Rhinolophus ferrumequinum: one gene and its partners. The protein of the gene in region 1 binds, or shares a complex with, the protein of each later gene. Links are inferred from orthologs where the notes say so. Each region holds a gene or a part of one and is shown in the gene's direction. Other genes may lie near its edges.

Region 1 (7,563 bases):
ACAGAAGGGATGCTCTCCCACAATCCTCTGCAAAGTAGAGTATTCACCCAAGAAAACATGGAGGCTATCTAAGTAGAATCTACTTAATACTTGCCATACTTGTTTCATCTGTTTGTTATAAATTCTTCAGTATAATCTATAACTCATGAGAATTTAAAAAAATATAGCCATGTGTCAAATAATACTTAACTATATTAACAATAATGCTTTCCTATTACTGAGATCCAAATCTATATTCAAACTTTTTTGTTTGTCAAAAAAAGTCTTTTTTTTTAATTTTTTAATTTTTTATTTTTTTATTCAAAAAACTAAACCAATGATGGTAATTCGATTTCCTTTGTGCATTTGGTTTTTAGATTTCTCTTAGGTTTCTATTATTCTGAACAGTCTCTTTCATCCACCCCTTTTATTTCCATGTCATAAATTTGTCAGAGAAACTGGAGTTATTTGTCATGTCAAGTGTCCCTCATTTCACCACGATGTGGTGGTCTTATTCTTTTATCATCTATATTTCCTGTAAACTAGTAATTAAAACAAAGCTTTGATTTGATCCAGGTTCGCTAGTTTAGGAAGAACCCTTCATAGCCAGCATTGTGTATTTCCAGTTTTATTATCATATCACATAACAGTGCTGTTTATTTAGTGCTTACCATGTGGCAAGCATTGTCATACTTCACAAACATGATTTATTTGGGGGGTAAGTAGTTTAGTTTTTTTGTTTTTCTAATGCAGTATTTATTTGTCTTTCCTCGGTCAAACCCTGAGCCTACCACTTTTCCCCAGGCTGCCTGGGGAAGTATAGGAAAAGGAACATACAGGGCAGATGAGACGGGAGAAAGAACTATGGGAGGTGGAGACGGCTCCTTCTCATAGTAAGGATGAGAAAGGCCACCATCAGGCAAAAGAGCTGCAGGGCCTCAGAGGGCAAAGCCAAGAATGGCGTAGGAGAAGAGCTGTTGCTTTAAAGAAGGGTTCCTGGCATAACGAGTGATGAGGCTCCCAAACACGGTCCCAATTCCAGCCTCAGCCCCAGCCCCAATGCACTTGGCTACTGTGTTGATGTCCTTTGAAATGGCGCCTGTTTGGAGGCTGCGGCTAGAAATAAGTGCGGTCAGAATATGTGGGGCTGCCAAGCTGCTGAGGCTCTCATCTGTCAGTGTCTCAGGCCGTTTCAACACCACTACAGACAGTGACTGGCTGGCTCGGCAGCTGATTGGTGCTCCTGACCAGGGGGTGGAGACAAGCCCTGCGCAGGCGCACATTTTCAGGGGATGAGGGGCTGTGGCAGGAGAGCTATTCCCAGAGCAGAGAAGAGGACTGGTTTAGTTTTTATTTAATAATGATAAACTTAACTCTGAATCCATCTAGACCTGGAGGGAGATAAGGATGGAATCCAAAGAATTGCAGCAAGCAAGAACACAAAGATTACAGGATGTGAGAGCTGGAGTTATTCTCAGGAACAAAAGGAATCGTTGGAGATAAGATAAAAACAAAATCAAACTGAGAGTGGCCTCGAGTCTTCTTGCTGGTCTTGCCATTCCTGGATCCAAAGCGCCCCTTCGCTTCTACAATATGCATGCCGTCTCTCTCCTGGCCAGAACTCCTGCTTGCCATCCAACCCATCAGTCTTCACCGTGCAGATGACACACTGGGAGCCATTTGGGTTGGGTCCAGCATTTGTCATGAATGAGATGGCAAGACGCATATTCTTCAAAATGAAGTTCTCCCCCTAGATAGACTTGCTGCCGATACTATTATGGTGTGTAAATTCATCACCCTGACAGGTAAACCCAGAAATAAGTCTAGGAAAGCAGGAACCCTTATAACCGAATCTCATCTTCCCAGCGCTCAGAGAACTGAAGGATTCTGCTTTGGAACATTGTCTGCAAATAGCTTGAAGAAGACGTGGCCCAACAAGTTGACCGTTAATGGCCATGTCTACACGTGGCCTTGGCGAAGCTGCCACTCCAAATAAGAGTCAGCAAAGAGTCCAGCATGATCTTACTTAGCTGCAAGTGAACATTGGTATAATTCTGGTTTTACAGATGGTGAGACCAAGGACTGGCCTCCCAAACTAGTAATGTCTTCCGTGCTGTGGTGCTGGTCTGTCAGGATTGGGGATTTCTGACAGTGAGGAAACAAGGGGGCAACCCCCCGGGCCCCCAAACCCTCAGTAGAAGAGGTGCCATGTGTTACGTGTTTTGTCCTTCTCCCTGCTAACACCCCACACTCCTCCCACACCTGCCCCTTACCTGTTCTCCCTCTCCAGGTTGAGTCAGCAGTGGCCCAAGCTGGTCCTCAGAAAAAGAAGGACCACTTACCTCCAGACAGGAAGGATGAAACCACACCTCTCTTCTCTCCACTTCTCAGGAGCCCTCTCCCTTTCTTTACTCAACATGGAATTTTTAAAGAAATTAGTGAGGTGAGATCTTTTCACCATTCTAGTTAAAAAAAGGGAGGGGGGATAGGCTCAATGTCATTAGGAACAGGGATACAGATTAAAACCACGATGAGACACCTACATGTCCGTCAGAATGGTTAATACGAAATGGCTGGATAATGTAAGGTGTTGGTGAGGATATGAGCAGCTGGAACCCGCAGACGTTGCTGTTGACACTGTAAACTAGCACAGCCACTTGAAACAATTATTTGTCACAGCAACTTAGCCGAAACATATGCCTGCTGTATGAGCCAGCAAAGCCACTCCTGGGCCTGGAGCCGACAGAAACAAGTGCTTATCAGTCCCAGAAGACTTGTACGTGATTGTTCATAGCACTCTTCACAATAGCCCCAAACTGGAAACTGATCCCAGTGCCCAATCAACAGGTGAATGGAAATAAGATGTTCCATAGTCATCCAATGAGAGACGACGCAGCTTTTAAAGGAAGGACTGCTACACGCAGCGTGGATGAATCTCAGAAACGTGCTGAGCGAGAGAAGGCAGACACAAACAGGTATATCCTGCAGGTTTCCATTAGATGGAGTTCAAAAACAGGCAGAACGGGTCTGCGGTGATGGTGGTTAGAATAGAGGTTCTCTTAGGGATGACGCAAAGGAGGCAGTTGGGGGCCGGAAATGTTCTCTCTCAATCTGGTGATGGTTCCATGGGTGTGCGCATGAAAATTTGAGTTAAACACTTAGGATTTGTTTTAACATTATGGTATATACGTTAAATCTCACCTTAAAAAAGAAAAGAAAAGAAATATATAACATAAATATATATAAATCTAAATGTAGGAACTGGGCAACCCAGGAATTAAGCTGATTCGTGGGAGTCCTGGTCCCCAGTTCTCTGCATTGGGAAGAGCCCTCCCTGTGATCTTCCCAGACTGTACAGAACCGCAGTCCAGACCCTGAACGGTCAGTCCCGAAGGACAGCCAGGTAAGAATCTGTGTTTCTGCTCTTTGTCCCTCTGTCCTACTTAGACCTAGGACTAATATTTACCTTGTGTACTGTAAACAGGAAGTGGGGGAGGGGCGGGAGCAGGGCTGGGCAAGGGGCAGTGTGGGACCACCAGGTGCTGTAGGCTGGCCAGGCCTACAGGGGGAGCAGGAAGGGCCCCACCGTGAGACCCTGGGAACTGGGTTGGCCCCTGTTTCCAGAAGCCAGGCAATAGGTTCTAGGAGATGAGAGGAAGCAGAACAGAAGCCTAGGAGGCCTGGCCCTGACTCCTCCTCCCGGGCACCCCTGCACACAAACACTCCTCCACAGCTCCCCAGGTGGGAGGCAGGGAAAATGGGACCTTCCTTCCGTGGCTGAGAGGCTGAGAGCAAATGTTGGCTGTCCCTGCCCCAAGTGTGTCCTAGGGCAAGGTGGGCAGCGCTTTGCTGACTTCACCCTTGTCTCTCTTGTATCTGTTTGTGGGAATCACACAAACCTCCCTGTTGGTTTACATCCATGTACCTACTGATTAGTAAGCACTTTCATGGGCTTTCCATTCACAATCTCCTTTAATCTTCCCATCAAAGTACTCTTCCCATGTACAGATAAGGAAACTGAGGCACACAGGGATTAAAGCAACCGTCACCATATGTTAGGATTGGAAGGAATTGCAGAGACCTTGTGAACCCACTGGCCGCAGTTGGCACATGTTCAGGGAAGTGGGGGCTGGATGATGGTGGTTACATTGGTCTTTCCTTTGGGACTTCCTCCCAGACCATCCATCTCTGGTCCTAGGAGGACCTGTGCTCCCAAATGGCGGGTGGATTACCCTGTTTCCCAGAAAATAAGACCTAGCTGGACAATCAGCTCTAATGCGTCTTTTGGAGCAAAAATTAATGTAAGACCCGGTCTTATTTTACTATAATATAAAACCTCGTCTATAATAATAATGTAATATAATGTAATATAATATAATATATAGTATAGCATAATATAATAATACCAGGTCTTATATTAATTTTCGCTCCAAAAGATGCATTAGAGCTGATGGCCCAGCTAGGTCTTATTTTCGGGGAAACACAGTATCTATTCACTTGTCCCCATGGCCCTGACCTGCTGACCACTTCCTCTCAGCTGGTTTCTTCATAGTAGTTTAACATTAACCTGAGAGGTCAGGATGAGCCCTCTGCGTCCCAAGCCGACACACTATGGCGCACGTCCGAGGCCCGTGGCTACCTGGCTGCCTGGCCTTGGCTGCCCTGTTTAGCCTTGTGCACAGCCAGCATGGTAAGGGGGGCTTGGAAGCTGGGATAGGCTGGCAGACTGGGATACGGGCCCATGGCTGAGGTCCCCTGGCTCGATAGAGAGCACAGAGCCAGCCCCAGGTGGGCCTCAGCCACAGTATCCAGCTTAGGGAAGGAGTCCAGTGCTCAGATCTGGCCAGACAGTGACGACTTCTCTCTTGCCATATGGGGAGTGGACTGGGGTGACCCATGAAAGGAGGGGAGCTAGTGGGCTACCATTAGCAGCCTTTCAGGTCCTGCCGCCATCCCAGACACCCCTTTTCAGAAGCCAGCAGGCCAGGCCAGGCTTGCTTCCTGCCCCCACGATGGCCAAGACAGCCAGGCTGCCTCAGGCCACTGTCCCATGCCCCTCCTACTGCAGTGTTCCTGGACCCTCAGCAAGCAATGTCGCTGCTCCAGCGGGTCCGACGCGCCAACAGTGGCTTCCTGGAGGAAATGCGCAGGGGCAACCTGGAGCGAGAGTGCATAGAGGAGCAGTGCAGCTACGAGGAGGCTTTCGAGGCGCTGGAGTCGACCAGTGCCACGGTGAGGGAGGGAGGGCCAGGCTGCTCGGACGAGGGCCGGGATCCCTCCCAGTGGGCCCAACTCTAGGAGCACAAGTGAGGGGAGCGAGGAGCATCCCAGCTCTTTAACCTCATTCTATCTCTGGGCCCCATTTCACTGGCTGCCAAGGTGAACAACCTGTGGACCTTGGAGGTCCAGATGTCTGGTCTTGGGGGCTGATGAGGCTCCAGGACATCGGGAGGCCTCTCAGGCTTCAGACATCTGTCTACTTCAAGATCTCTGGAGCCTCTGCCCCCGTGGCCTCTCTGCTTCAGCTTTTCTGCTAAGTCTCTGCGATCTTGGGGCGTGGGGCTCTGGTGGGGCTGGGAGCCCTGGGCCTAGGCCTCTCTGTTCCGGGAACCCTGCAACCTTTCCCTTCCTTGGGGCTCTGCCTGAACCCCACGGCCAGCACCCCATGCCCTCTCTTCTCTAGTCTACCCCACCCAGGGGAATCCCTTTCAGACTTGGGTGCGGGTGGGAAAGCTCTCCTCTCTTTAGTGGGCCGGGGCAGTTGGAAACAAAAGCAGGAAACTGCCACAAACCTTCCCAGAGTGACCAGGGTAAGGGAAAGAGAAAAGTATAAGGAGAAGACATAATGTTTACTAAAAACCAAAACACAACAGCATCCTGCCATAGCCTCATGCTCAGCCCTTGCTTTTCAGGATGCCTTCTGGGCCAAGTACACAGGTGAGCACTGGGAAGGGTCTGCTTCAGGAAGAAAGTCCTGGGGACCCCACTTAGAGAATGTACTACTCTATGGTCCATCCAATCATCCACCCCCACCCCTGCCTCTTCCCTCCCTCACACCCTCCCTCCGTCCCTTCCATCTGTCTGTCCATCTCTCTGTTTCTGAATGTCATCCCACCCTTTACTTGAGCCCACCTTGTCCTTACCCCAACTCCAAATGTGTTTCTGGGTCTTTTCCAGCTTGTGAGTCGGTGAGGAAACCTCGAGAAAAGCTCGTTGAATGTCTGGAAGGTGAGGAATCAATGTGGGGGTGGGAGGTCAGGATATGAAGGGGACTGCCTGGGAGGAAAGCAGAGGCGTGTGGGTCAGCAGGTTGCCCAGCGGCGGCAGCCCCCAGCTTCTGATTCTGCCTTTCTGTTCTGCTGTCAAGGCTATTTTGCACCTAGCTCTGGTAAGATGATTAATGTTGAAGGAACAAATGAATGAATGGATAATGAATTAATGTTCAAGGCCTCATTCTCATCTGAAGCCCTGTCCATGCCAGTCTTCCCCATGTCTCCAGGGCAGAGCTCCGAATATGTCACATTCATTCTCCAAAACCTTGAGTGGCTGCCCCGTGCCTCCAGCATAAAGCACCAGCTTCTTAGACTGGCAAACATTGCAGGTTCTGGCCTTAACCTCCCCTTCTAGCGTTATCTTCCATTGCACCAACCGTGAACCCAGACCCCAGCTACTCTGACAGCAAGCTCTTCTCCGAACATGCGAAGATGGTCCTACTTCCTGGATCTTCCTTACATTGTCATCTTCCTACTGAAAATCTCCCTGTCCTTCAAGGTCTAGTTCAAATGGCACCACCTTGCTGAGCCTTCTGAATACACTGTTAGTGTGACGATGGACCCCACAACATGAACTCTTTAATCACTGGCCATACTTTCATTTGTTAAATCACTTATTAACAGACATTTCACTACGCCCCTGCTAGGTGCCAGGCACTTTGTCAAGTGCTGGATGTTTTGAGAGAATCAAGAAGCTCACAATTTCATAGGAAAACAAAACCATAAAACATCAATGTAATTGCAGGAAACATTCTGTTCCAGGTACCAAGAGAATGCCAGGAGAAAGAGCCTTTAGTTTGCTGACAGAATCAGGGACAGCTCCCCAGAAGCAGCAGAGTTTTACCCGGATTTGTGAGATACATTGATGGACAAACAGGAGAGCATTCCCAGGCAAAGAAAATAGCATGTGCAAAGGCCCTGAGGCACGAGGCGCTAAGCTGACAGGATAGGTAGACCAGGGTCAGGTTAGGCCTTGTTCACTTTTTCATCCTGCTGGCCATGAGGACCCACTGAATATAAGCTCCATGAGGGCAGGGACCTACTTTAATCATGACTGTCTTATTCATCACTATGTCCTTAGTACCTGGCACTGCGCCTGTCCCTGTGTCACAGTAAATATTTGGTGACTACTGTTAAATGGATTGGAGTACTGCTGAATGCAGAGGAGGTGCTGAGTAAGTGCAGGTTAAGAGTTGTGAGCCAGAAGGAGTTTGGAAGGGGTAGATGGAGCTTTGCTAAGACAAAGGGGGGGGACGGACTGGGGTCTCTGCAGGTAACTGTGCTGAAGGTCTGGGTATGAACTACCGAGGGA
Region 2 (6,607 bases), on another chromosome or scaffold:
CTCCAGTACCTTCTCCCTGCTGCCCTGAGTGTGGAAACTCCAGACCATGGCACGGTCGAACAGACTCAGATTTGGGGTCCCAGGGTGGAAACTGTCATGCAGGGACTCAGCTCCCGCTCCCCACACAAGAACGCAGGATATGGTGAGGCCAAAAAGGAACACCCACGGAGCCATGGGTGGGGGAGTCATACCACTATATTCTCGCTGGCAGCTGGTCGAGACACAAAAGCAAACATCTGCCAGTACCCCAACAAGGGATCTTCCTGTACCCCAGGCTTGCTGGCGGCCGGGCAAGACACAGGAAGTAGGATCCACACGATCCGCAACCCACCATCCGCAATCTGCCGTCCACTTCTCTGCCAACCAACCAACCCCTAGCCTAGCAACGGCAGTTATATCAGTGGCTAATGGCTGACCAGTCACAGCTGTTGACCATCTACTACGCGAGCCAGCACCTTTCCATGTGAAGCCGAGAGCCTGGAAACTGCTGTCCTGTCTCTGTCCCCACACTCCACCCCTATAGGGTCTCGCCTCACAATCTACGGGACAAGTGTCTTCCGCCAGGGGCCCCGTGTCAGGAACCCAACTCATGAGAAAAAGTTTCAGTCTAGTTCAAGTAATGTCCCAGGGGGTGTCCCTCGATGTCCACCTACTTCTAGGCACAGCCAGGGTTTCTCAGGGCACTGTGCTGGAACAATATGGGCTCACAGCTGAGGTACTTACATATTCTCCACGGTGGCTGGTAGAGACACAGGAAGTAAACATCTGCCTGCACCCCACCAAGGGGTCTTCCTGCACTAGTCTCGCTGGTGGCCGGGAGAGACCGCTGATGTAGGATCCACACGATCCACAATCCATCCGCAATAAACCGTCCGCTTCTCTGCCAACCAACTAACCAACCCCCTTGCGTACCACGGCAGTTATATTAGTGGCTAATGACTAACCGGTAACAGCTGATGGCCACCCAGCCACAGTGGATGGCCATCTGATCACAGCTGATGGCCATCTAATAACTGGCCAGCACCTTTCCACGTGAGGCCGAGAGCCAGGAAACTGCTTTCTGGGACTCTGCCCCACAGAAGCTCAGGGCATCTGGGGTTTGGAGGGCTGGACTTCAAGTCTTGGCACCCAGCAAGATGGGATCACAGCCCCCTCCTTTTGAGTCAGTCCAGTGGGTTAACGTCCTGCTCACAGAGGCCCAGCCTGGGCACAAAGGGAGTTGGAGGCACATGTGGGAGCTCATCTGGCTTCAAAATACAACATAATGACAACACAGTTCCCACAAAGACGGCTACCTGAGAAGAGTTGCTTTGGAAGGACTTGGGTTTGTCCACTCCGAGACCCCCACCTTCCACTGAGGACAGTGAGGTGCGGGAGAGGTGGTAAGGGAGGGCCTCCGGGGTTCCTGCCGGGGCTGGAGGCTGAGGAAACCCAGGACTGCCTCGCTGCTGAGTCGGGCCTATTTGCCTTTTTTTATCACCATTTAAGAAAAGTTTTAAATTATGGTAAAATACACACAAAATTTACCATGTTAACCATTTTTAACAGCACAGCTCAGCGGCGTTAAGTCCATTCACATCGTTGGGCAACCATCACACCATCCACCTCCAGAACTTGTTCATCTTCCCAAACTGACACTGATCCCATGAAACACTAACTCCCCCTTTTCCTCCCCCAGCCCCTGGCACCACCGTCTGTCTACTTTCTGTCTATGAATCTGACTCCTCTAGGGACCTCATATAAGTGGGATCACACAGTATTTGTCCTTTTGTGTCTGGCTTATTTCACTCAGCATCATGTCCTCGAGGTTCATCCATGTGGCATGCATCAGAATTCCCTTTCTTTTTTTTTAATAACCACTTTTTTTTTTTAAGGGGAACAGGACTTTATTGGGGAACAGTGTGTACTTCCAGGACTTTTTCCAAGTCAAGTTGTTGTCCTTTCAATCTTAGTTGTGGAGGACACACCTCAGCTCCAGGTCCAGTTTCAGTTGCCAGTTGCAGGGGGCGCAGCCCACCATCCCTTGAGGGAGTCGAACCGGCAACGTTGTGGTTGAGAGGACGCCCTCCAACCAACTGAGCCATCCTGGAGCTCAGCGGCAGCTCAGCTCAAGGAGCCGTGTTCAATCTTAGTTGCAGGGGGCGGAGCCCACCATCCCTTGTGGGAGTCGAGGAATCGAACTGGCAACCTTGTGGTTGAGAGCCCACGCTCCAACCAACTGAGCCATCTGGCACTAGCCCATGTGGGAATTGAACCGACCGCCTTCGGCTTTAGGAGCACGGAGCTCCAACCGCTTGAGCCACCGGGCTGGTCCTCCCTTTCTTTTTCTTTTTTTTTTTTTTTTTTTGGTGCCGAAACCGGGGACTCCCTTTCTTTTTAAAGCTACCTTTCTGCCTTTTTTAAACACAAGCTTTCATGGAAAGGGACACACATACAGAAAATTTCAATTGTACAAAGAAGCATACAGAGAAAAGTAAGGGACCAAGTCCTTCTCCCCAAAGGCAGCTGCCCGAGGGTCCCCCAGGAGGTGCCTCTACATGGCTTGTCTTCCAGTTGGGACAGGACAGCGGCCTGCACCTCCATCTGCCTTGTCTGGGATCCCTCCCTCCTGCTCACACTGGATTGTCTTCGTGAAGGGGACACCCTCTGCCCTGTGCTGCCGGGAATATCCCTGTACAGATGCCATCCTGCAAGGTGTGTGTCATAAATTCCTGGACTCAGAACCCCTGAGTTAAACTGCCCTCCTTGGGGGACCCCAGTCTGCCCTGGCCCAGTGTCTCCAGCCCCCCGTTCCCCTGCACAGGTTTCCCTGGAGGGTGGCAGAGGGTCCCCATCCCAGTTTTCCTGCACTGAGGGCATCACCAGTCATGTGGTGCCCAGAGATATGGGCATGGGACTGAATTTGTCACTGGTACCAGTGGAAACTGCTCAGAAATGGGGGACAGCCTCCTGGCTGAGACAGGACAGCCTCCTGCCTCAGCGGCAGTGCTCTAGGCCTTGGTCCCCACCCCCCACCCTGGGGCTGAGGGCAGGGACCTCAGCATCTCAGCCTCCAGCCCCACTGTCTAGGCTGCTCAGTCACTTCCTGCGGGGCCCGGAGTGTGTGACTAGATTAGGGCTTGTTGTTCCAAGACACACCATATCTGATCCCTTTTCCCACCCCTGTGCTTTTTTTCTTCCTTGACCCCCCACCGTCCCCTGGGGGCCCTCCTGCTCCCAGACATGCCCCCTGCCACCATGGCCCAAGGATGACTGCACAGGGTCGAGAACCTCCAGTGAGGGGCTCCCCCAGGGCAGTGAGAGTGGAGGCCTCTCTGGGGCCTGCAGGGGCATGAATGAGGGGGGAGACTGAGTGCAGGGGAGAGGTGTACCCTCCCCTCTGAGCCTCAGTTTCTTCATCTGCACAGTGGACCCCATCTGAGTGCAGAAATGTGGAGGGGCCAGAGAAAGGAGGGCTCCCGGGAGGGTGGGCAGAGGATCCTCTGTGCTGGCCGCCTCCCTTGGGCTCAGATATGGTTATGACCACCCTCCCCGTCACACCTGGGACCCCAAGCTGAGGTGGGGCCAGGAGAGGAACAGAAGGAACTTCCAGAACCAGCCAGATGGACACCTCCCAGAGGAGACTGCAGCCAGGATCCCTTCAGACCCCCAGGGCAGTACATGGTCAGCGTCAGAGGCTCCAGCCAACCAGTGACACCTCCTTGGCCATCCCCAGCAGACCCCAGACTCACAAGGTGCCTTCCCCTCTCCACACTTCACTTTGTACCTGCCCAGGGGCAGCCCCCACAGAAAACCTGGGGTGCTTGGGTGTGTGTGTAGGGGTGTGGGGGTGCTGGTTCACCTGCTCTGACCTCTGACCTGGAAGGCAGGGCTCTCCTCTTGCCTGCTAGAGACGGAGGTGGGAGAGGCTTCGGGAAAGGCCAAGAGCCCCTGACGGGGAATGTGACCTGGAAGGCTGTGCTGTCATGGGAACTGCGACTGGCCAGCAGGAAGTAACCACTTGGACCACAGAGGTTTCCTGAGCTGGACAGGGGCCGGTGGAGGTGCTGCAGCCTAGGACGTCCTCCCCCATCTTACTGGCCCAACACTTGGACACCGTGAAGCACCTCTGCCAAAGTGGTGCCAGCCAGCAGGCCACCTTAGGTCATCCGTGGGCCACCCATAGGCTGGCTGGAGGCAGGGGCTGGTTTATCTCACCAGGCCGTGTCTGCTAGCCCTCTCTGCCCTCTGCCTGTGCTCAGGAAGCTGGGGGCGGGGGGTCTAGCAAACGGGAAGCCGGAGTTCAGTCCGCCGCGGCCTAGAGCAGCCGGCACGGAGCTCCATCCAACAGCATGTGGGTACTCCTACTGCTGTGTCCCCTGGCCCTGGGGTTCAGCCTGGAGGGTGGCGCTCAGACCCCCAGCATCTACGACGAGGGCGGGAGCACAGGGAGCGGAGATGGTGAGTGACTCCAGGCGCTGCCTGGGGCTGTGCAGGCGGGTATCAGAGATGGGCAGGACGCAGAACTGGGGTCCCACCAGCCCAGTCCTGAAGCCAAGGGACTGTGTCAAGCTCTGTCCCAACAGCCTGGAGGTTCCTGAGTTGGGGCCTGGACTGCAGCCCCTGGGGGCGTCAGTGGGGAGGGCAGCACCATCTCACTGGAGGTACTGGCTGAAGGGCAGGAAGGGGGGTGATGCCTGGGTTCTCAGTGCCTCCATCCTCCTTCCCTCCCCCAGATGGCACCCTGGGACCTTGGACCAGGCTCCAGGCAGCGACCCCTTGCCCACCTCAACCACGCAGCTTCCCTGGCTGGCACTGCGCCAACAACAGCGACACTCTGGAGCTCTGGGACAACTCTCGGGCACTGCTGCTGGGCTGGGTGCCCACAAGGCTGGTGCCCGCACTCTATGGGCTGGTCCTGGTCGTCGGGCTGCCCGCCAACAGCCTGGCACTGTGGGTCCTGGCCACGCGGGTGCCTCGGCTGCCGTCTACAGTGCTGCTCATGAACCTGGCAGCCGCCGACCTGCTACTAGCCCTGGCCCTGCCACCCCGCATCGCCTACCACCTGCGGGGCCAGCGCTGGCCCTTTGGCGAGGCCGCCTGCCGCCTGGACATGGCCGCGCTCTATGGCCACATGTACTGCTCCGTGCTGCTGCTGGCGGCCATCAGCCTGGACCGCTACCTGGCTCTGGTGCACCCACTGCGGGCCCGCGCCCTGAGAGGCCAGCGCCTGGCCACTGGGCTCTGCACTGCAGCCTGGCTGGTAGCAGTCACCCTCGTGCTGCCCCTGGGGCTGCAGCAGCAAACCTTCCGGCTGTCGCGCTCGGACCACGTGGTCTGCCATGACGTGCTGCCCGTGGGCACCCAGGCCTCCCACTGGCGCCCCGCCTTCCTCTGCCTGGCTGTGCTCGGCTGCTTCCTGCCCCTGCTGGCCATGCTGTTCTGCTACGGGGCCACTCTGCGTGCGCTGGCGGCTAGTGGCCGGCGCTACAGGCACGCGCTAAGGTTGACCTCACTGGTGCTCGCCTCGGCCGTGGCTTTCTTCGTGCCCAGCAACGTGCTGCTGCTGCTGCACTACTCAGACCCAGACCTGGACGCCTGGAGGCACCTGTACGCCGCCTACGTGCCCAGCCTGGCACTCAGCACCCTCAACAGTTGCGTGGACCCTTTCGTCTACTACTACGTATCAGCTGAGTTCAGGGACAAAGTGCGGGAGGTGGTACTGCGCCGGGTGCAGGGAGCCACCAAGACCTCCAGAGAGAGGGGCAGCCCGGGCACAGGCACCCGGTCCTCGTCACTTGTGACCGGCCCTCAGGAGGCAGGGCAACAGAGAGGGGTTGTACTGGGTTAACGAGGGTGCCCCCCAAGTTCATGTCCACCAGGAACCTCTGATGAGCTTGTTCATTAGGATATAGGGTCTTTGCAGGTGTAATGAGTATGAGGTCATATTGGGGTATGAACCCCTCATGACTGATGCGAGATACACACAGAGAAGGCCATGACTACGGAGGCAGCGATCAGGGTGAGTGGGCCACAGGCCAGAACACAAAGGGCTGCCGGCAGCCACCGGAAACCAGAGAGCATCCTCCGAGGGACTCTCCCGCAGGCTCTGCAGGAGCCAGTCCTGCCCACAGCCTGATCTCAGCCCAGCCTCCAGAACTGAGACAATAAATTTCTGTTGTTTAAGTCACCTGGCTTGTGGTACTTGGTGACAGAAACCCAGGAAACCATGACAGGGGTAAATGCAGATTCCCGGGCTCAGCCGGCTCTCTCGTGTCCAAGGTGGGGATGAGAGGAGGCTGAAGCCACCCTAGACCAGCTGGAGGTCCCTACCGAGGAAGCTTAGGCCCCCCACCCCCTGGTGGCTCAAGAGTCTGGGAGCCTAACTGGTGGTCCTTGTTCTCAGAAGCCCAGCTTCTGGCTCCAGGACAGGCGTCAGGGTACAGGGCGTCTCCTGAGCAAGCAATGCGGAGACCCCCACTCTGTTCCCCAAAGCCTTGCGGAACTCATCATTGGGAGCAACGGGGCTTAGTCTCCTGCTAGCTCTTGGCTGCAAGATGTCACTTCTTCCCCTTAACCTGACATCTGATTTTTCTCATTTGATGTTGACTCCCCTCCCCCAGGACCT
Region 3 (7,588 bases), on another chromosome or scaffold:
CACAACCAACCACCTAGTAAACTGGAAGCCGGGGAGAGTTACAGGCAACTCTGGTTTCTGTGTTAGATGTTTTGCCAAATTTCCATGGAAGTTAAGCTCTGAGTTACACAGTAACCACAGCAGGAGCTCAGCTCTGCTGTTTGCACCCCACCCAGGTCTTACTCTTGGATCCAAAGGAAAGAACAGAGTAGCCCGGATGTGAGGCAGTGGCAAGGACCAGCTGAATAACCTGCTCCTGGGGGCTGCAGCTGAGACTGGAGGCAGGGCTAGGGAGAGGGGGATTCTTGTTCTAGTACTGACCTCGACGTGTTAAAAAAGAGACAGGGTGATTGGATGCTATGTTCTTTCCTCTTCGTGGCTCCCCACACCTACCCTTAACACAGCAAAGCAAAGAGCTGTCCTGCCAGCTTCCACTCAGATGTGGGGAAGCCTTTTCAAAAACTACTATGTACTTGGTAAAAGTTCCGAAGTCTGCCTCCGCTTCCAGAAAGGGTTACCAGTTTCTATGACTTTGATTTAAACATACTTTTATATATTAAATATTTACAATGATTAAAACACTTTACAGAAGACTAATGACAGTGTGTGTGTGTGTGGGGGGGAAGACAGATGACTAGATAGATAGGTAGATAGGGAGTCACCCAGAGCCCTGCATACACGCTCTTTTCCTTTCCTCATCAAACCAACTAAGACGAATCAAGGGGAAGGGGACTCAGGTCATCAAAATCTAGACAGAGACAGGCAAGAACAGTTGTGAGCAGTGAGAACCAGAGACGAGGCTGGTGTGAAGGACCCCAGAAGAACAACTCAGAAGCACATTCGGAATGTGCATCAGAGAATGTTTTCTACTAAAATATGAGTAACCAAAGAAAAAGGTGGCAGTTCCTGGATTCATTTCTAGGCCCTGGATTTTGAGGGAATCATGGAAAAACTGGAAGAGACTATCCAGATGGTGGCATGTCATAAACCCTGCCCCAAGAAAAACAATTGGACAGGGAAGACATGGATGTTTTCTTCACAGCCATCACGTAGGAGCCCAAGACCTGTGACACAGGCAGACAAGGATTTGCATCTCAGCTTTGCCAGCTTTGTAATTTGGGGCAAGTTCTTAACCCTTGTGAACAGCCGTTTTCTCATCTCTAAACTGAGCAGAATAGCATCTTCCTGGTAGAGCTGACAAGAGAGTTATATAAGCTAATGCCTGTACAGCACTTAGCATGGATCCTGGCATGCAGTAAGTTAAAAAAACAAAAACAAAAAACATATATACATATGTGCGTGTGTCTCTGTATATGGGTTTATGTCCATTAGCTTGTTTATTTTCTGTTTCACTCACTAGAATATTTGCTACATAAAGGCAGGGACCACATGAAATTTACCATCCTATTCTCGGTGTCTAGAACAGACCTTGGCATATCAGGGTTCCATAAACATTGCTAACTAAATTAATTAATCTAAGTAGATCAAATGGCACTTGGGTTGTCAGACAGTAGACTTCCCTTTAATATTATGTGCTACTCAGAAGCTACTAGTTAATAATGGAAAAAAGAAACATCGCAGCATTTTTGTAGTATTTGGGTACCAGCTAACTTCTATACAACCATAGCCGTAGTCAAATTTATGTTCACGTCACAGTCTAATGAGGGCCTTCTGGGAGTACAGTCATTTAGCCACCAAGTTTGATGATGGATAAATTCTCCATGTTCTTCCAAGTCCTGAAGTCGTCTATCCTGAACATGGAGACAGAGCTTGGAGGACTGTAGGGGCCATTTTAGGAGACTCTGCTGGAAATGGCATACATCATGGCCACCAACACCCCATTGCCCAGAATGTAATCCTGTGTCCCCACCTAACTGTAGGGGAGGCTGGAAAGGAGAATTCAGCTGTGTTCCCAGGAGGAAATGTAACCATATGAACTCTATCACAGTAAACCCATGAATGATCTTTAATCCTTAAAAATCCCTGAGAGATCAATACTCTGTCCCCATTCAGAAATTTTAAAAATGTGACCCTGAGGGAGGTGCTGCACAACCAAGATCGCATAGCTAACGAGTATGTGACAAAGCCAGGGCTTCGGCTGGTGCCGTGACTTTCCCTGCCATTCTGGGATCAGAGCACCAATCGTTCTGATGAGGCGGACTTCCTCGTGATTTTGTCTCTGCTTACACATCAATGAAGAGTGCATATAGACCTTGGACTTAAATCTCTTTTAATGCCTTTGTTAACATACTGTGATTTTTCTGAATAGTTCAGTCCTAATCACTGTCTCCTCTGATCTTACCAATCAGTATTTTAAAATATAACAAAACTCTTTTTCACATGATATTTTATAGAATTCTGTAATAACTGTGTTCTTTTGTATATAAACATATATGTATAGTAAGAGCTTAAAATGGCACCTGTTATCATATTCAAAGATTTAAAGAATTTGACCTAAGCTAATAGAGGGAATAGTTAAATTATAGGCAATGGAGTATTATATTGCCATTAGAAAGTTTTTGCCAGGCAGGACACAGCTAAGCAGCTCTATTCCGCCTTCGGACACTGAACTGGGCTGGTCTCACTCACCTTTTCTCCTTTGTCACCAGCCAGGGGCTCAGCCTGCTTCTCATTCCTCTCTGGTGCTGCCTCCACCTCCGACATGCCCTGGAAGTCCCCTCTCCCCAGGCCTCTGAGGAATACAACACTGATCCCCTTCTGCTCATAAAGTCACGGCCTTTTTGAGGAGGGGGTAAATACATTGACATGTTCAAAAGTAGAAAATGGAATAAGGAGGTTCATATTGGCAAGTCTTCCTCCCACTCTGAGTGCCCACCCCTCAGCCCCACCATTCCCACTTTGTGATACAAAAGGTGACATACTAGAGACACTGCTCAGCAGCTTGCCTTTCCCCCATGAGTTATCCTGAAGCCCTTCCCTGGCAGCACACAGAGAGGAAACTCATCCTTTCTGACCAGGGCTCAGTTTTCCAGTGGGCGAGGTACCTTGGCTTATTGAACTGGTCTCCTGTAGATGTTGTTTCTAATCTTTTGCTGTCACAAATCAGGTTACAGCTGGTGATCGCATGCATACCCGCGCAGGTATCTGTAGGAGACATTCCTGAGGTGGGACTTCCAGCGCAAAGGGTAAATTCACTTGCAATGTTGGTACTGCCAGATTTCCCTTCGAAGGGTCATGGAGCATTCTGCAGCCCTGCAGCGATTCATCAGGGAGGCCTTTGCTACCACCCTTTCTAAAATGGTAACCTCCCCACCTTCCCCCATCACTTTCTATCCCCTTGCCCTGTTGTATGTTTCCCCATGGCCTCTATTAATACTGATTCATACACTGATTCTTTATGTGATCGTTGCATGTCTCCTCTGACTGGGGTCCCCAGCCCCTAGAACAATGCCCAGGTATTTACTGGACACAAGTGGTTGGACGGGAGAATTTTCAATTGTCTTTAATCTGGAGTGACAAGGAGCCTCTAGCATCCTCGGGTCCTTTAGGACAGGTCCTTGTAACTGTTCGCACTGCACATGGGAGTCCGTAAGGTGTCCAGGCTCTAAATCAGCCAAGAACTTACACACAGCTTCAGTCCAGATAGAGATTTCCTGTTTCGTGATTAGAGAACTCTCGAGAATTCCTATGACTGTACCAACTTCAAAGAGTCTCCACACAGAAAGTGCAGACGTACCCTGTGAACTATTGTAGCAATCCTGGTGATACTGTTTTTGGCTCTTTAGGAAGAGGAAAATATAAATAAATGGGCCCTTTATGTACATTAGTTTGAATTCATTTCACCTCCCCAATAACTAAAATAAGTAAAAAAAACAATGCACGCAAAAAAGGTAATTCGGTTTGTTTGCTTTCAAAGAGGTATTGCAGCAGTTGTATGATTTTACCGGCCCCACACACGGCCTCCTGACCCCCAGTCGAATTGTGTTAAGTGCCTCCCAACCAGCTCATCCACCTTAGAAATATCGCTGGCATGCACCCCAAGGATACTTGTGCTCTTGTGGCTCCTCCCGTCACTTCAGGGCTGAGCGGGGAAGGGCTCCATCTGCGGACCACAGGTGTAACCATCGTGTGTCCTGGTCTGGGTCACAGATGTGTTGACTCTTAGAAGCCTGAAAATAGCACTTTGTTCCAGAAAAATCCTCTTCTTCCCGCTCTGATTAGATACTATGGACTCTCTATCGCTTCTCCTAAAGAAACCTGTGAAAGAAAGGGTATTGCACTGAGCAGGTGGAAGGCTAGAACGTTCCAGACACTCAACTTGGCAAGTTATGTTCACCTATTTTCTACTCTGGGTTTGGGTAACCAGGAAAAAAAAAAATCCTGCACAGTTCTCCTCAGTCAGGCACTTTCTGACCTAATTTGAGTTTGTGAACACATTCTCCTTTTCCTTTTCTATGATAAAGATAAGGAAGAGATAGAGGGAGTACAGGTAAGAAAGGTGGGCCTTGCTTTCCCTGGGCCTGACTGAACTTTAAAACTTCTCTACTAATCAAACAACATGGGGCTCCACACTTTGCTTAACCCTGGGGCTGGTCATCAGCCTTTGACCTCAGTCCTCCCCTCCTCCCCTGCCTCTCCCCCACCTTCGCCTCTGGAACCTCAGTTAGATTGGGAGGAAAGAGCCAGTTTCCAGAGCGACTGCCTCAGACCACAGTGCCCAGCCCCGTGGAGGATTAGCAGCCATGTTTTCCAATGGGATAGGAACTGTAGCTGCTGGAAAAAGGTAAGAGGGGTGAGCTTCCCCTTTCCGTGCCCTCAGTGGGTCTTCTGACCTCTGAAGGACTCAGGAAGGTGACCTTGACACCTTCGAGGAGACCAAGCCCTCTCCCTGGTGGTTACAATCAAAGAACTTGTTTGGAGACGTCATTCCCAGCGCCCTCCCTCTCACCCGCCTTGGGGTCAGGCCTTTCCCTAAGCCACACCTTGGGTTCTTAGCTCAAGAAACGGGACGTCTTTCTTCCCTGTGTGAAGACACCACGCCAGCCCTCACAGTCCAGGAGACCCTCCAAGGGGAACTCCGGGGCTTGGTCTACATCTGAAATGAGGGCCAATTTTAAACTGTGAGGACCCCCTGACACCCTGTTTGCTCCTCCTTCCCCTCGGTTGCCCCCCACCTCCCACCCCAAGATCTCGGTGACCTGTGACTGACGAAAGGACTGCAGCCCTCTTCTCCCTCAACACGCCACCCATCACCTTGGTCTGGCTAGCTGTAGGAAGCTACAAGTGAGGCTAGGGCTCGGTCACCTTGGTTTTGCTTTGTGCTTAACAGAGCTCCCAGGGCCCTCTACTTGTATTTCCAAATGTAGCTGAGGGACAAGATGGGAAAGAGTAGGCAGCAAGAGGGAGACATGAATGACAAGATTCTGTCTCTGCTTCTTCACGCCGCCTTCCACAGCTCCCTCGGTGCCTCCACTTCTCTCCCACTCGAGGCCTGTGTTCTTCAAACGGCTACAGAGTTGGCTTCAGCTCACACACGAAGCCAAGTCCCCCAGCTCCCGCCAGCGAGTCCCACACTGGCCCAGCAGGCCTCCTCAGCTAATCCTTTCTGCACTGCATGCCTGTCTTTTTCTGCCAGGGGAAGACTGAGAAGGCTTGCTCCTCACACACACACTCCCTTCCCTAGACGGAGGGACCCACGTCAGCCACAGGAAGCCCCTGCCCCCAATCCCCGCACCCGTCTTAGCTACGGAATACCACAAGTGTTTTCTCTCTTGGTTTGCTTACTTGGGTGTCACAATTCTCCTAATTTACCAATCTCATGATCTCATTTTTTAAAAAGTGAAATTAGTTTCATTTACTTTTAGTGAACCCATGCTGGAAGCTATTACAATTTCCAGGCCACAGAAAAGGATGAGGCCTGAACTAAGGCAGTGAGAGGGCAAGGAAACAGAATCGATCAAATCTAGGGTCTGACTAAATGAGGTGAGGGAGGAAGCAGGGTGCATGAGGGGCCCATCTGCTGAGTTGGAGGACATGGAAAGAGAAACAGGTATGTGGGGAAATTGGCAAGTTCAGCTTGGCCGTATTTCATTAAGGAATGTGTAGGACGTCCAGGTGGAATTGTGCAGCCAACAATCAGTCTGGAGCTCAGCGGAAGGCTGGGGCTGGAGCTACTGTTATGAGGTCCTCCCCACACAGATAGCACCTCTGCCCCATTCATTCCTTCTCACCCCTCTTGTATCTGAAATCTCTCCGCAGTATCAATCGAAATCCTTCCAACCCGAACACCCAGGGTAAAGTCCATCCATTTCTGAGGCCTCCCTAGGCAGCTCTGTAAACAGCTCCTCCTACAACCCTCACTCTTCACTGGGCACTGTTTTTCATGTGCGCACATCCCATGTCACAGCTGGAGGCTTTGCATTCTTTCTCCCAGCATGGGGCGTCAGGCACACATACTTGAATAAGCATCAGTTGCTTCAATAGTTGATTCTAATTTCGACATGACTATGTCCAGGCAAATGGAACTATCCACTGACTAGGAATCCAGGACTGGACTCATCCTGGGCTCTGTACAAAGTACTAGGTCACACCGGGTGGGCTGGCATCCTAAGCTTTCCTAGGCCAAGTCTGGGCTGGGCAGTGGGGATAGGGGGTCTCCCAGCCTAGCTTAACTCAGCTTTTTGTCCCCCTATAGGAGGGTATGTCTTCTTTCCTTGCTGCTCATTGGTCTCTGGGGCTGTGTGACCTGTCACTGGAGCCCCATAGAGGACATCTGCACTGCCAAGCCTCGGGACATTCCTGTGAATCCCATGTGCATTTACCGCTCCTCAGAGAAAAAGGCAACTGAGGACGAGGGCTCAGACCAGAAAATCCCTGAGGCCACCAACCGGCGGGTCTGGGAACTGTCCAAGGCCAATTCCAACTTTGCCACCACCTTCTATCAGCACCTGGCAGACTCCAAGAATGACAATGACAACATTTTCTTGTCACCCTTGAGCATCTCCACAGCTTTTGCAATGACCAAGCTGGGTGCCTGTAACAACACCCTCAAACAGCTGATGGAGGTACAGTCCACAGTCCTTCTGCCCAGCGTCCTTACTATGTATGGGCCTGGAGCCCTTTAGAGACCTTAGGTCATATCCCAGTCTCCTTGTGTTTCTTTTTCCCTTTCTCCTTCCTACCCTTTATTCTTTTATCCATGTATTCATTTAGAAAGCATGAGCAGAACATTTATGATGTGCCAGTCACTGTACTTGAAGGAGGTCACACCAGAGGTGGCACTCGGTCTGGGGCTGACTGCACCGTGCTCACCACATTAGCCCGGATGCCCCACCAGACCCACCAGCATTTTCTTTTGGCTTCTACAGGTTTTCAAATTTGATACCATCTCCGAGAAAACATCTGATCAGATCCACTTTTTCTTTGCCAAACTGAACTGCCGACTCTATCGAAAAGCCAACAAATCCTCCCAGTTGGTATCAGCCAACCGCCTTTTTGGAGACAAATCCCTTACCTTCAATGAGACCTACCAGGACATCAGTGAGGTGGTGTATGGAGCCAAGCTCCAGCCCCTGGACTTCAAGGTGAGTTGCAGACGTCATCCCTGACCTCAGAATTCTTCCTTTCCACTTAGAGATTGAGGAGCTAG
Region 4 (7,659 bases), on another chromosome or scaffold:
ACTTCCAGAGACATCAAGAGGCCTCAGAGAACTGAGTATAGAACTTGGGTTTTAGAGCCAGAATGCCCGAGTTCGAATGTGAACACCACCAGTTACTGAGTGTGTTAGTTTCTTAGGGCTGTCTTAACAATAACAAGCAGAAATTTATGTCTCACAGCTCTGGAGGCCGGAAGTCCAAGATCACGGAGTGGGCAGGACAGGTTCCTTCTGAGACGGGGAGGGACCCCCTGCCCCAGGCTCTCCCCCAGCTCCTGGTGTGGCTGGCAGTCTTCAGTGCTCCTCTGCCTTCCTCTCACATGGCGTTCTCCCAGAGTGTGTGTCTGTGTCCAGATTTCCCCTTTTATAAGGACAGCAGTCATACTGGATTAGGGCCCACCCTTCTCTACAACGGCCTCATCTTAACTAATTACATCAGCGGTGACCCCGTTTCCAAATAAAGTCACCTTCTGAGGCACTGAGGGTTAGAACTTCATTATGATGCCATGGGCTGCCGCTCTGTGCCTCAGTTCCCTCACCTATAAAATAGCGATAATCCCACCTAATGTATCACTACGGGGATGGTGCGCTTTGTTTTTCTTCATATCAGTGGAAAAATAAATCGATTATGACCCATCTGGTCCATTTAATATTCTGACCCCTGGCCCATCCCGTGCTCTCATCCCCATTGTGATGGACTGAATTGTGTCCCCCCAAAATTCATATGTTGAAGCCCAAACCCTAATGAGATTATATTTGGATACAGGGACTTTAGGGAAATAAATAAAGTTAAATGAGGTTATAAGGGTGGGGCCCTAATCCCATAGGACTGGTGTCCTTAGAAGAGGACGAGACCCCAGAGCTCGATCTCTCTCTCTCTCTCCCCCTCCCCCACCTCTTCCCGTGTGCACAAAAGGCCATATGAGGACACAGCAAGAAGAGTCCATCTATAGCCCAGGAAGACAGATCTCACCAGAAACCAACGCTGACATCACCTTAATCTTGGACTTCTAGCCTCTAGAACTATGAGAAATAAATTCCTCTGGCTAAGTCTGAAGAAAAGACTGAAGAGAGACATTATTGTCAAGCTGCCAAATTACCAAAATCAGGTAGATTGAGATATGAGGAACTGATTCTATTCTTTTTTTTTTTAACTAGCCTGGGAACTTAAAAACATCTGAACTTTCCAGTCCTGTATTCGTGCCTGGACATAGATCAGACCTCCAGATAACCCTCTGAAGACTCCCTAAAGGGCTAAGGAAAGAATGCTCAGTTATCAAGACCACCTGACATCCAGTACCCAGACCACCTGACATCTAGTACCAAGACCACCTGACATCTAGTACCCAGACCACCTGACATCCAGTATTCAGTCTGACTGACATCTAGTACCCAGACCACCTGACATCTAGTACCCAGACCACCTGACATCCAGTACCCAGACCACCTGACATCCAGTATTCAGTCTGACTGACATCTAGTACCCAGACCACCTGACATCCAGTACCCAGACCACCTGACATCTAGTACCCAGACCACCTGACATCCAGTATTCAGTCTGACTGACATCTAGTACCCAGACCACCTGACATCCAGTACCCAGACCACCTGACATCCAGTACCCAGACCACCTGACATCTAGTACCCAGACCACCTAACATCCAGTACCCAGAACACCTGACATCTAGTACCCAGACCACCTGACATCCAGTACCCAGACCACCTGACATCCAGTACCCAGACCACCTGACATCTAGTACCCAGACCACCTGACATCCAGTACCCAGACCACCTGACATCCAGTACCCAGACCACCTGACATCCAGTACCCAGACCACCTGACATCTAGTACCCAGACCACCTGACATCCAGTTCCCAGACCACTGGTCCTCTGGAGGATGACCATCTGGGACCAATCCAGAGGCTCATTGTGGAGGACAGATTCATCTCAAGAACATAATTTTTTCTATAAGAACTCTTAGCTTTTCTTTCTTCTTCAGAACACTCTGGATATTGCCTAGTTGTGTTCGTTTATAGTTTGCAAATCCTAAATCCCTTGAAAAATTATTTATCACTTATTTCTAGCCAAAGCCTCCAGACTCTTTGTGAGTTTGTTCAACAAGCCACCCAGTCTGTGGTAGTTTGTTATGGCAGCTCTAGCAGACTAAAGCACGAGGGCATCATGTTCTAAGAAGCCCTCAAACCTCTCCCTTCAAAATTTACCCATCCTCCACCCCCATTCCTTCAGAACCCTTTCTGAGTAGCAATGTGGAGTCAGGGGTTGCTACAGACATCCCCCCAAATTTGAGACATTCCTTAAAATGCAAGCTTGGAGACACGAATAGCACACACAGACTGGAGAAGCCTTTTAGTATCTTGGTTACTCCCATCTTCCCCAAGTATTTCAGCTGGGACATATTCTGGGCTATTGTTCTGGTTTCCTGTTGCTGCTGCAACAAATTATGATGAAGTTAGTGGCTTCAAACAACACAGATTTATTTTCTTACAGTTCTGGAGGCCACAAGTCAAAATAGGTCTCACAGAGCCACCATCAAGAAGTTGACAGGGCTTTCTTCAGGCATTCGTTGGCCATGGCTTCACATCACATTGTCTGTTCTCCTGTTTCCATGACCACATTGCTTCCTTCTGGCTCTGACCTCCCACCGCTCTCTTATAAGGATGCTTGTGATCACATTTAGGACCCACCTGAGTAATCTGTGATAATCCCCAAGATCTTAACTTAGTTATATCTGCAAAGTGCCTTTTGTCGTATAAAGTAGCATTCACAGGTTTCAGATATCAGGACATGGCCATCTTGGGGGTGGGGGCTAGTCTCCATTCTACCACAGGTGTGTAATAATGATTTCCATCCTATAGAACAGGGGTGTCCAAACTGCGGCCCACGGGCCAACTTTGGTCCGCAATCCATTGTTAATTGGCCCGCAGCAAATTCCAAAACTATATTTAGTTTACTTAAATAAACCAGGTGAGGCAATACGTACTTCACCTCGAGTGAGTGGCCCGGCTGTTTGTGTATTCTACCGCATATGGCCCTTGGTGAAAAATGTTGAAAAAAGTTTGGACACCCCTGGTATAGAACATAGTTTAGGAATCTCTACGTTATGAGATAAAGGATTCTTGCTTATGTCACATGGCACAATAGCAACAAAGCAAAACCTAGGCAGAAGGGACCCAGCTACCCCCTTGCTAGTGCCTTTCCTCATTAGCTGTGTGCTGATTACCTAGAGTGGTTGGGCTGATTACCTAACCACTCTCAGCTTCCACCTTCTCACTGACTTGGTGCGGATGCTAGTACCCACCTTCCAGGGCCTCGTGAACACAAAGCAGGCACTCAATACCTGGTAGGGACTGTGTTTGTTTCTAGACTGAGGCAGTGCTGAGGATCCCCTTTGTAGCATTGTTGTAAGCATTCAAAGAGAAAATGGGCCATAAACAGACCCTAAAATCATGGAGAAAGAAAGGGAACTGTCTCAGAGGTTGTAGAGAGACCCTGTGTTGCTGAGCATCAAGAGCCTTTCCCTTGGGAAATGCCTGGTCCTCTGTCTCCTCTGCCAACTGCACACCCCACTTGCACCCCCACAACCTTCTGGATCATGGCTACACACAGTGCACCCCAGTATTAGGAAGTCCCTAGGAATGAAGGGTTGAGTCGGCATCAGCATCGTGGAAATACTCTTGAAAGTGTGGGGCTGAGTTCAGGAGCTCCACTTTCAAGGTAGAAAAGGACAGTCGAGCTGACCCCACAGAGATCTTAGCCCTTTTTTAAGCAAAGAGCACTGACCTTGAAGTCGGAAGCTTGGACACTCAGCCCCACTCTATCCCTGCTTTGATGCAGGACTCTGAAAAATCCCTTCATCATTCTGAGCCTCAGTTCAGTTGCTGGCGCAAGAACGGGGGGTTGTTCCAATGATCCCTTCTTTTCAGTCATCGTGAGACTCTCTGGACCCCTCTAATTTCCACGAGAATCTGGCTGGTGGGTCCATGAACACAGTAAGCACGTAGGCCTGTGGGGAGCTTGAATTCATATGCCACTCCCCAGATCTACAGCAAATTGACTGCAGGAAACAAAGGTATCAGCCTGGCGAAAGGGCGGTCGGCCAGAGGGTGTCCCTTTCTCTGTGTCTGGAATGCTGGCAGCTGGTTGCCTGTCTAGCCTCTTCTCCCAGGAGTTCCTGTGCCACTGCAGGCAAATGGTGTCTGAAGCCACCACCTTAAATACCACCTTCAGCTAAAGACAAAACAAAATGTTGGGGTTGGGAGGGGGGTCAGTTATGGAACGGTGACCAGGAAAAGCACAGGAAACAGGGGTCAGGTCGTTGTGCAGGTTTCAGTCCAGGCCGTCTCCATCAGGCCTGGTACGTTCCAAGTGTAAATGTCCTTTCACAAAGGGGAACTTCTAAGTGGGTTTCAAGGCTTCTCCCCAGACTGCCATGTCTTAAAATTAACCAGCTTAGAATAATCAATATCCCCAAAGGGGCATATGTTAGGGTGGCCAACTCTGCTCCCCTTCAGGGGCTTGCAGGGCAGTGGGCGGGTGGCCCTGGTCAGAGCTCAGGTGGCTTTGCCCACAGCCTAATTGTTGGCTGGAAGCCGGCTACAACAGGACAGGGCAGGGCTGGCTGGGGCGGGGCCAGGGAGGGGTGGAGTCAGGTCCCTGCTGTGGTCAGTGGCAAAAGCTGGCTCCACTCTAGCCAGCCGGCTGCGCTTTCCAGAGCCCCACAGACCATTGTGCCTCCACTGTGTGCATACTGGGCCACGGGACAGAGTAAGTACAGGTACTGCCGACAGAGGACCTGTGGGTATGAGTGTGTGTGAGGAGGGCTGAGAAATGGACTCTGGAGTTATGGGGTTTGGAGGGCTTGAAAGCTTTGGAGGTGTCCCAGAGTGAGCCGGAAAAACTCCCCGCAGTGCTGAGGAAAGAGTCAGCCTCTGAGACGGCAGAGGTGACCTTGGGCACAGCAGGAAACCTAGCTAAGCCTCAGTTTCCTTATAGGTAAGATGCAACGTACTGCACCTCTGCAAGGTGTGACTGAAGATTAAGTAAGGTGATGGTTCTCACCCAGGCATGATTTTATCCCCACGGCACATCTGGCCGAGGCTGGAAAGATCTTGAGTTGTCACAACTGGAGGCGTCCAGTTGGCGTCCAGTGAGTAGAGACCAGAGAGGCTGCTAAACATCCTACAATGAGCAGGACAGTCCACTGCCACCCCCACGACAGGGAATGATGCAGCTCCAAATGCCAACAGTGCTGAGGCTGAGGAAGCTTAAGGAAGTGGGGACAAATATCTGGTACACGGGGTGCTCCGTAAAGCATTGCTTGCGTTGTTCTCTGTGCCTGGAATTGCTATCCTTTAGAGAGCAGGAGAAATGATCAACGATAATGTTTCCCTAAGATAAGGCCACCCCGTCTGGGGCCTGCCACCCAGTGTGCTCCTCGGCAGCTGCTCCAGCTCCAGAAGCTTTTTGGCCATTTGTTAAGTAAACAAAACAGAAATATAAAATGAGTGGAATTTTTAGTTTTTCTAAGGATGAGGCTCTTGGCAAGAAATGCAACAGTAAAGGGAAACTGCTCCCCTGGCCAATATCCTCCTTCACAGTCAAGACTAGGCAACACAGTGGAAGTTTGGCAGGTGATGGATGCGTTTATGGTGGTGATGGTTTCACGGATGTATACTTACCTCCAAACTCATCAGGTTGTACACATGAAATCCTACTTTAATGAAGTGGTATTTAAAAAGAAAAAGACAGGAAACTGCGTCTGAGCAGCAGGGGGAGTTATTCAAGGTCACCTGTCGAGTTAGCCCCAGGGCCGCTGGAGCTCAGCTCTGGAAGCCCCGCCTGGCTGTGTTTCTAACATGTGGTCCGACACCTCTGAATTACAGAGAATGAGACGGGTTCATTCACTCATTCATTCATTCATTCCACAAAGGTAGCGGAGCACCACCCCTTGACTGCAGGGAGGACAGATGAGGGGCCTTTCTATTGTGAACACGTATCCTAGTGGGTGAGACAAGTTGGAACAAAAGAGGCCAACAACAAATGCATATGTAATTGTGCTTATATAATTGACTGAAAGATAAAAGAAACAATGAAGGGGCCAGTGGAGAGGGAGGACCAAGCATGAAGAGGGTGTCAAGGGGAAAACTTTCCAGCATCAGCCTGAGGCCTGCAGGGATGCTAGCCCTGGTGAGAAAGGTGGAGAGAGGGTTCCAGCAGCATGTGCAAAGGCCCAGGGGCTTGCTGTGTTTGAGGCAATGAAAAAAGAAGTGCGCCCAGAGGACCCACACAACTGAGGGCAGAGCAGGTCAAGTTGAGGCTGGTGAGAGCTGGGCAGAGCCCGGCGGCATGGGGCTCCGTGCGTTGTTGCACAAATCAGAGTTAGATTTTACCCTGCAATGAATGGGCAGCAACAGTATTCTTAGGCAGCGGAGCACTGTGACTTTGTGAATGAAGGCGATTCTTTCAGATGCTTTGTAGAATGGCTCATGGGGACAGGAGAAGTGGGGCGATCCAGGTAAAAGATGGAAGGAGCTTCCATTAAGGTAGTGGCTGGAAAACTGGGGAGAAGCAGGCAGATTTAAGACACACTTTGGAGCTAGAAACTGACAAGCCTTGCTGATGGTCTGAAGATGGCGGGGTTAGGAAAGTTCCCTAGACCACAGCTCGCAGGAAGCTCTGCCCCTGGCTCTTTAGGTCCCAAGGGAAGTTGGGTTTTTGTCTCTCTGCCGGGGCTCCATCTTACATGTATTTTTGTAATTAGCAGATTGTGGACACACCCACCTCAGCCACACAACTCCGGCAGCTGAGTCCAAAATTGACCTGGATGGGAGTTTGTTATCTAGCATTTAAAATGAATGACAGCAGATTTGGGGTCCATGGATGTTAGGGGAGCAGTGGGAGGTCTGCCCAGGGCCTGCCCACCCCCAGCTGACTCAAGTCCCTTTGGCCTGGTGAGAAAGGTGGAGAGAGGGTTCCAGCAGAGAGCAGAATGTGCAAGGGCCCTGGGCTCAGCTGGGGCTTTCTGTGCTTGAGGCAGTGAAAAAGGAAGTGTGCCCAAAGGATGCACGCAACTGAGGGCACCGCTTGAGTGCTCCGCTCCCTTCCCTTTGACATGTGAGGGCATTTCTGCAGAAACACTGACTTTAGGGACCCAGGAGAGAGTCAGCCAAGTCAGGCTTTGCTTCAAATGGGAGGCCAACTGAGTGCCGCCTGTGCAGCTCAGCCAATAGACTGACACAGGAGTTGGCTATAAGAATGAGTGTTTATTATCAGAGCACCCGTGGTCTGAAGAGGCAGTGGGTTAACACATCCAAAAACTGCCTTAACATCCTCCGACTGGCTTGGGGTATCCAAGGGAAATCTGGACGTTAAGCTACGTGATGGGGGTTGGGGTGGGGGGTTCTGCTTGGAGCCTTCCCTCTGGCCAGGCGATTCTCTGGTGAGGTCAGCAACCCAGGAACAATGATGGGAGTATCCTGGAAAGAATACTAGACCATAGAGATTGTGGTCAATAAGCCTAAGGGTGTTAACGGTAAGTGTCAGGGTGATTTTATGAAACAGGGAACTGGGTGGGACAGGGGTCATTCTGAGCTCTACCATCAGGGGGATGTTCCGTTGTTAAGCTATAGGGAGGTCAAGGAAAGGTGAGGCCAGGGACACCC

The links.
Region 2: the proteins of F2 (region 1) and F2RL3 are in contact, whole or in part, in a crystal structure (PDB 2PV9), measured with the Mus musculus proteins. The link is inferred for Rhinolophus ferrumequinum from reciprocal best matches to the Homo sapiens genes F2 and F2RL3. Residues at the interface, in NP_034298.1 of Mus musculus: Glu385, Leu386, Leu387, Cys388, His403, Tyr407, Trp410, Asp411, Arg428, Arg453, Glu454, Asn455, Leu456, Trp501, Gly502, Asn503, Trp508, Thr510, Gln516, Arg538, Ile539, Asp559, Ala560, Cys561, Glu562, Gly563, Asp564, Val585, Ser586, Trp587; in NP_032001.2 of Mus musculus: Asp54, Lys55, Pro56, Asn57, Pro58, Arg59, Gly60, Tyr61, Pro62, Gly63, Lys64, Cys66, Asn68, Asp69, Ser70.
Region 3: the proteins of F2 (region 1) and SERPINC1 are in contact, whole or in part, in a crystal structure (PDB 1TB6), measured with the Homo sapiens proteins. The link is inferred for Rhinolophus ferrumequinum from reciprocal best matches to the Homo sapiens genes F2 and SERPINC1. Residues at the interface, in NP_000497.1 of Homo sapiens: Leu389, Leu390, Cys391, His406, Cys407, Tyr410, Pro412, Trp413, Asp414, Lys415, Trp455, Arg456, Glu457, Asn458, Leu459, Asn506, Thr510, Trp511, Thr512, Ala513, Asn514, Val515, Gln519, Arg541, Ile542, Asp562, Ala563, Cys564, Glu565, Gly566; in NP_000479.1 of Homo sapiens: Lys258, Glu264, Asn265, Arg267, Tyr285, Glu287, Gly288, Lys289, Glu345, Met347, His351, Ala419, Val420, Val421, Ile422, Ala423, Gly424, Arg425, Ser426, Leu427, Asn428, Pro429, Asn430, Arg431, Val432, Lys435.
Region 4: the proteins of F2 (region 1) and SERPINA5 are in contact, whole or in part, in a crystal structure (PDB 3B9F), measured with the Homo sapiens proteins. The link is inferred for Rhinolophus ferrumequinum from reciprocal best matches to the Homo sapiens genes F2 and SERPINA5. Residues at the interface, in NP_000497.1 of Homo sapiens: Arg383, Pro386, Glu388, Leu389, Leu390, Cys391, His406, Cys407, Tyr410, Pro412, Trp413, Asp414, Lys415, Trp455, Glu457, Asn458, Leu459, Asn506, Arg541, Ile542, Asp562, Ala563, Cys564, Glu565, Gly566, Asp567, Val588, Ser589, Trp590, Gly591; in NP_000615.3 of Homo sapiens: Gln241, Lys295, Lys296, Arg297, Thr368, Ile369, Phe370, Thr371, Phe372, Arg373, Ser374, Ala375, Arg376, Leu377, Asn378.

What each region holds. Positions count from the first base shown.
Region 1 is NC_046294.1:14,304,404-14,311,966, reverse strand, and holds the start of F2 (prothrombin), read left to right. Parts: upstream 1-4,547; 5' UTR 4,548-4,590; coding exon 4,591-4,669; intron 4,670-5,047; coding exon 5,048-5,211; intron 5,212-5,891; coding exon 5,892-5,916; intron 5,917-6,156; coding exon 6,157-6,207; intron 6,208-7,524; coding exon 7,525-7,563. Other genes in the region: ATP synthase F(0) complex subunit C2, mitochondrial-like, read right to left, coding at 918-1,262. UniProt on the Homo sapiens protein: Thrombin, which cleaves bonds after Arg and Lys, converts fibrinogen to fibrin and activates factors V, VII, VIII, XIII, and, in complex with thrombomodulin, protein C. Functions in blood homeostasis, inflammation and wound healing.
Region 2 is NC_046301.1:50,264,263-50,270,869, forward strand, and holds F2RL3 (proteinase-activated receptor 4), read left to right. Parts: upstream 1-4,139; 5' UTR 4,140-4,331; coding exon 4,332-4,440; intron 4,441-4,715; coding exon 4,716-5,830; 3' UTR 5,831-6,105; downstream 6,106-6,607. UniProt on the Homo sapiens protein: Receptor for activated thrombin or trypsin coupled to G proteins that stimulate phosphoinositide hydrolysis. May play a role in platelets activation.
Region 3 is NC_046305.1:8,763,024-8,770,611, reverse strand, and holds the start of SERPINC1 (antithrombin-III), read left to right. Parts: upstream 1-4,578; 5' UTR 4,579-4,682; coding exon 4,683-4,723; intron 4,724-6,634; coding exon 6,635-7,004; intron 7,005-7,307; coding exon 7,308-7,523; intron 7,524-7,588. UniProt on the Homo sapiens protein: Most important serine protease inhibitor in plasma that regulates the blood coagulation cascade. AT-III inhibits thrombin, matriptase-3/TMPRSS7, as well as factors IXa, Xa and XIa. Its inhibitory activity is greatly enhanced in the presence of heparin.
Region 4 is NC_046289.1:8,631,039-8,638,697, reverse strand, and holds the start of SERPINA5 (plasma serine protease inhibitor), read left to right. Parts: upstream 1-4,643; 5' UTR 4,644-4,762; exon of another isoform or gene 4,763-4,772; intron 4,773-7,659. UniProt on the Homo sapiens protein: Heparin-dependent serine protease inhibitor acting in body fluids and secretions. Inactivates serine proteases by binding irreversibly to their serine activation site. Involved in the regulation of intravascular and extravascular proteolytic activities.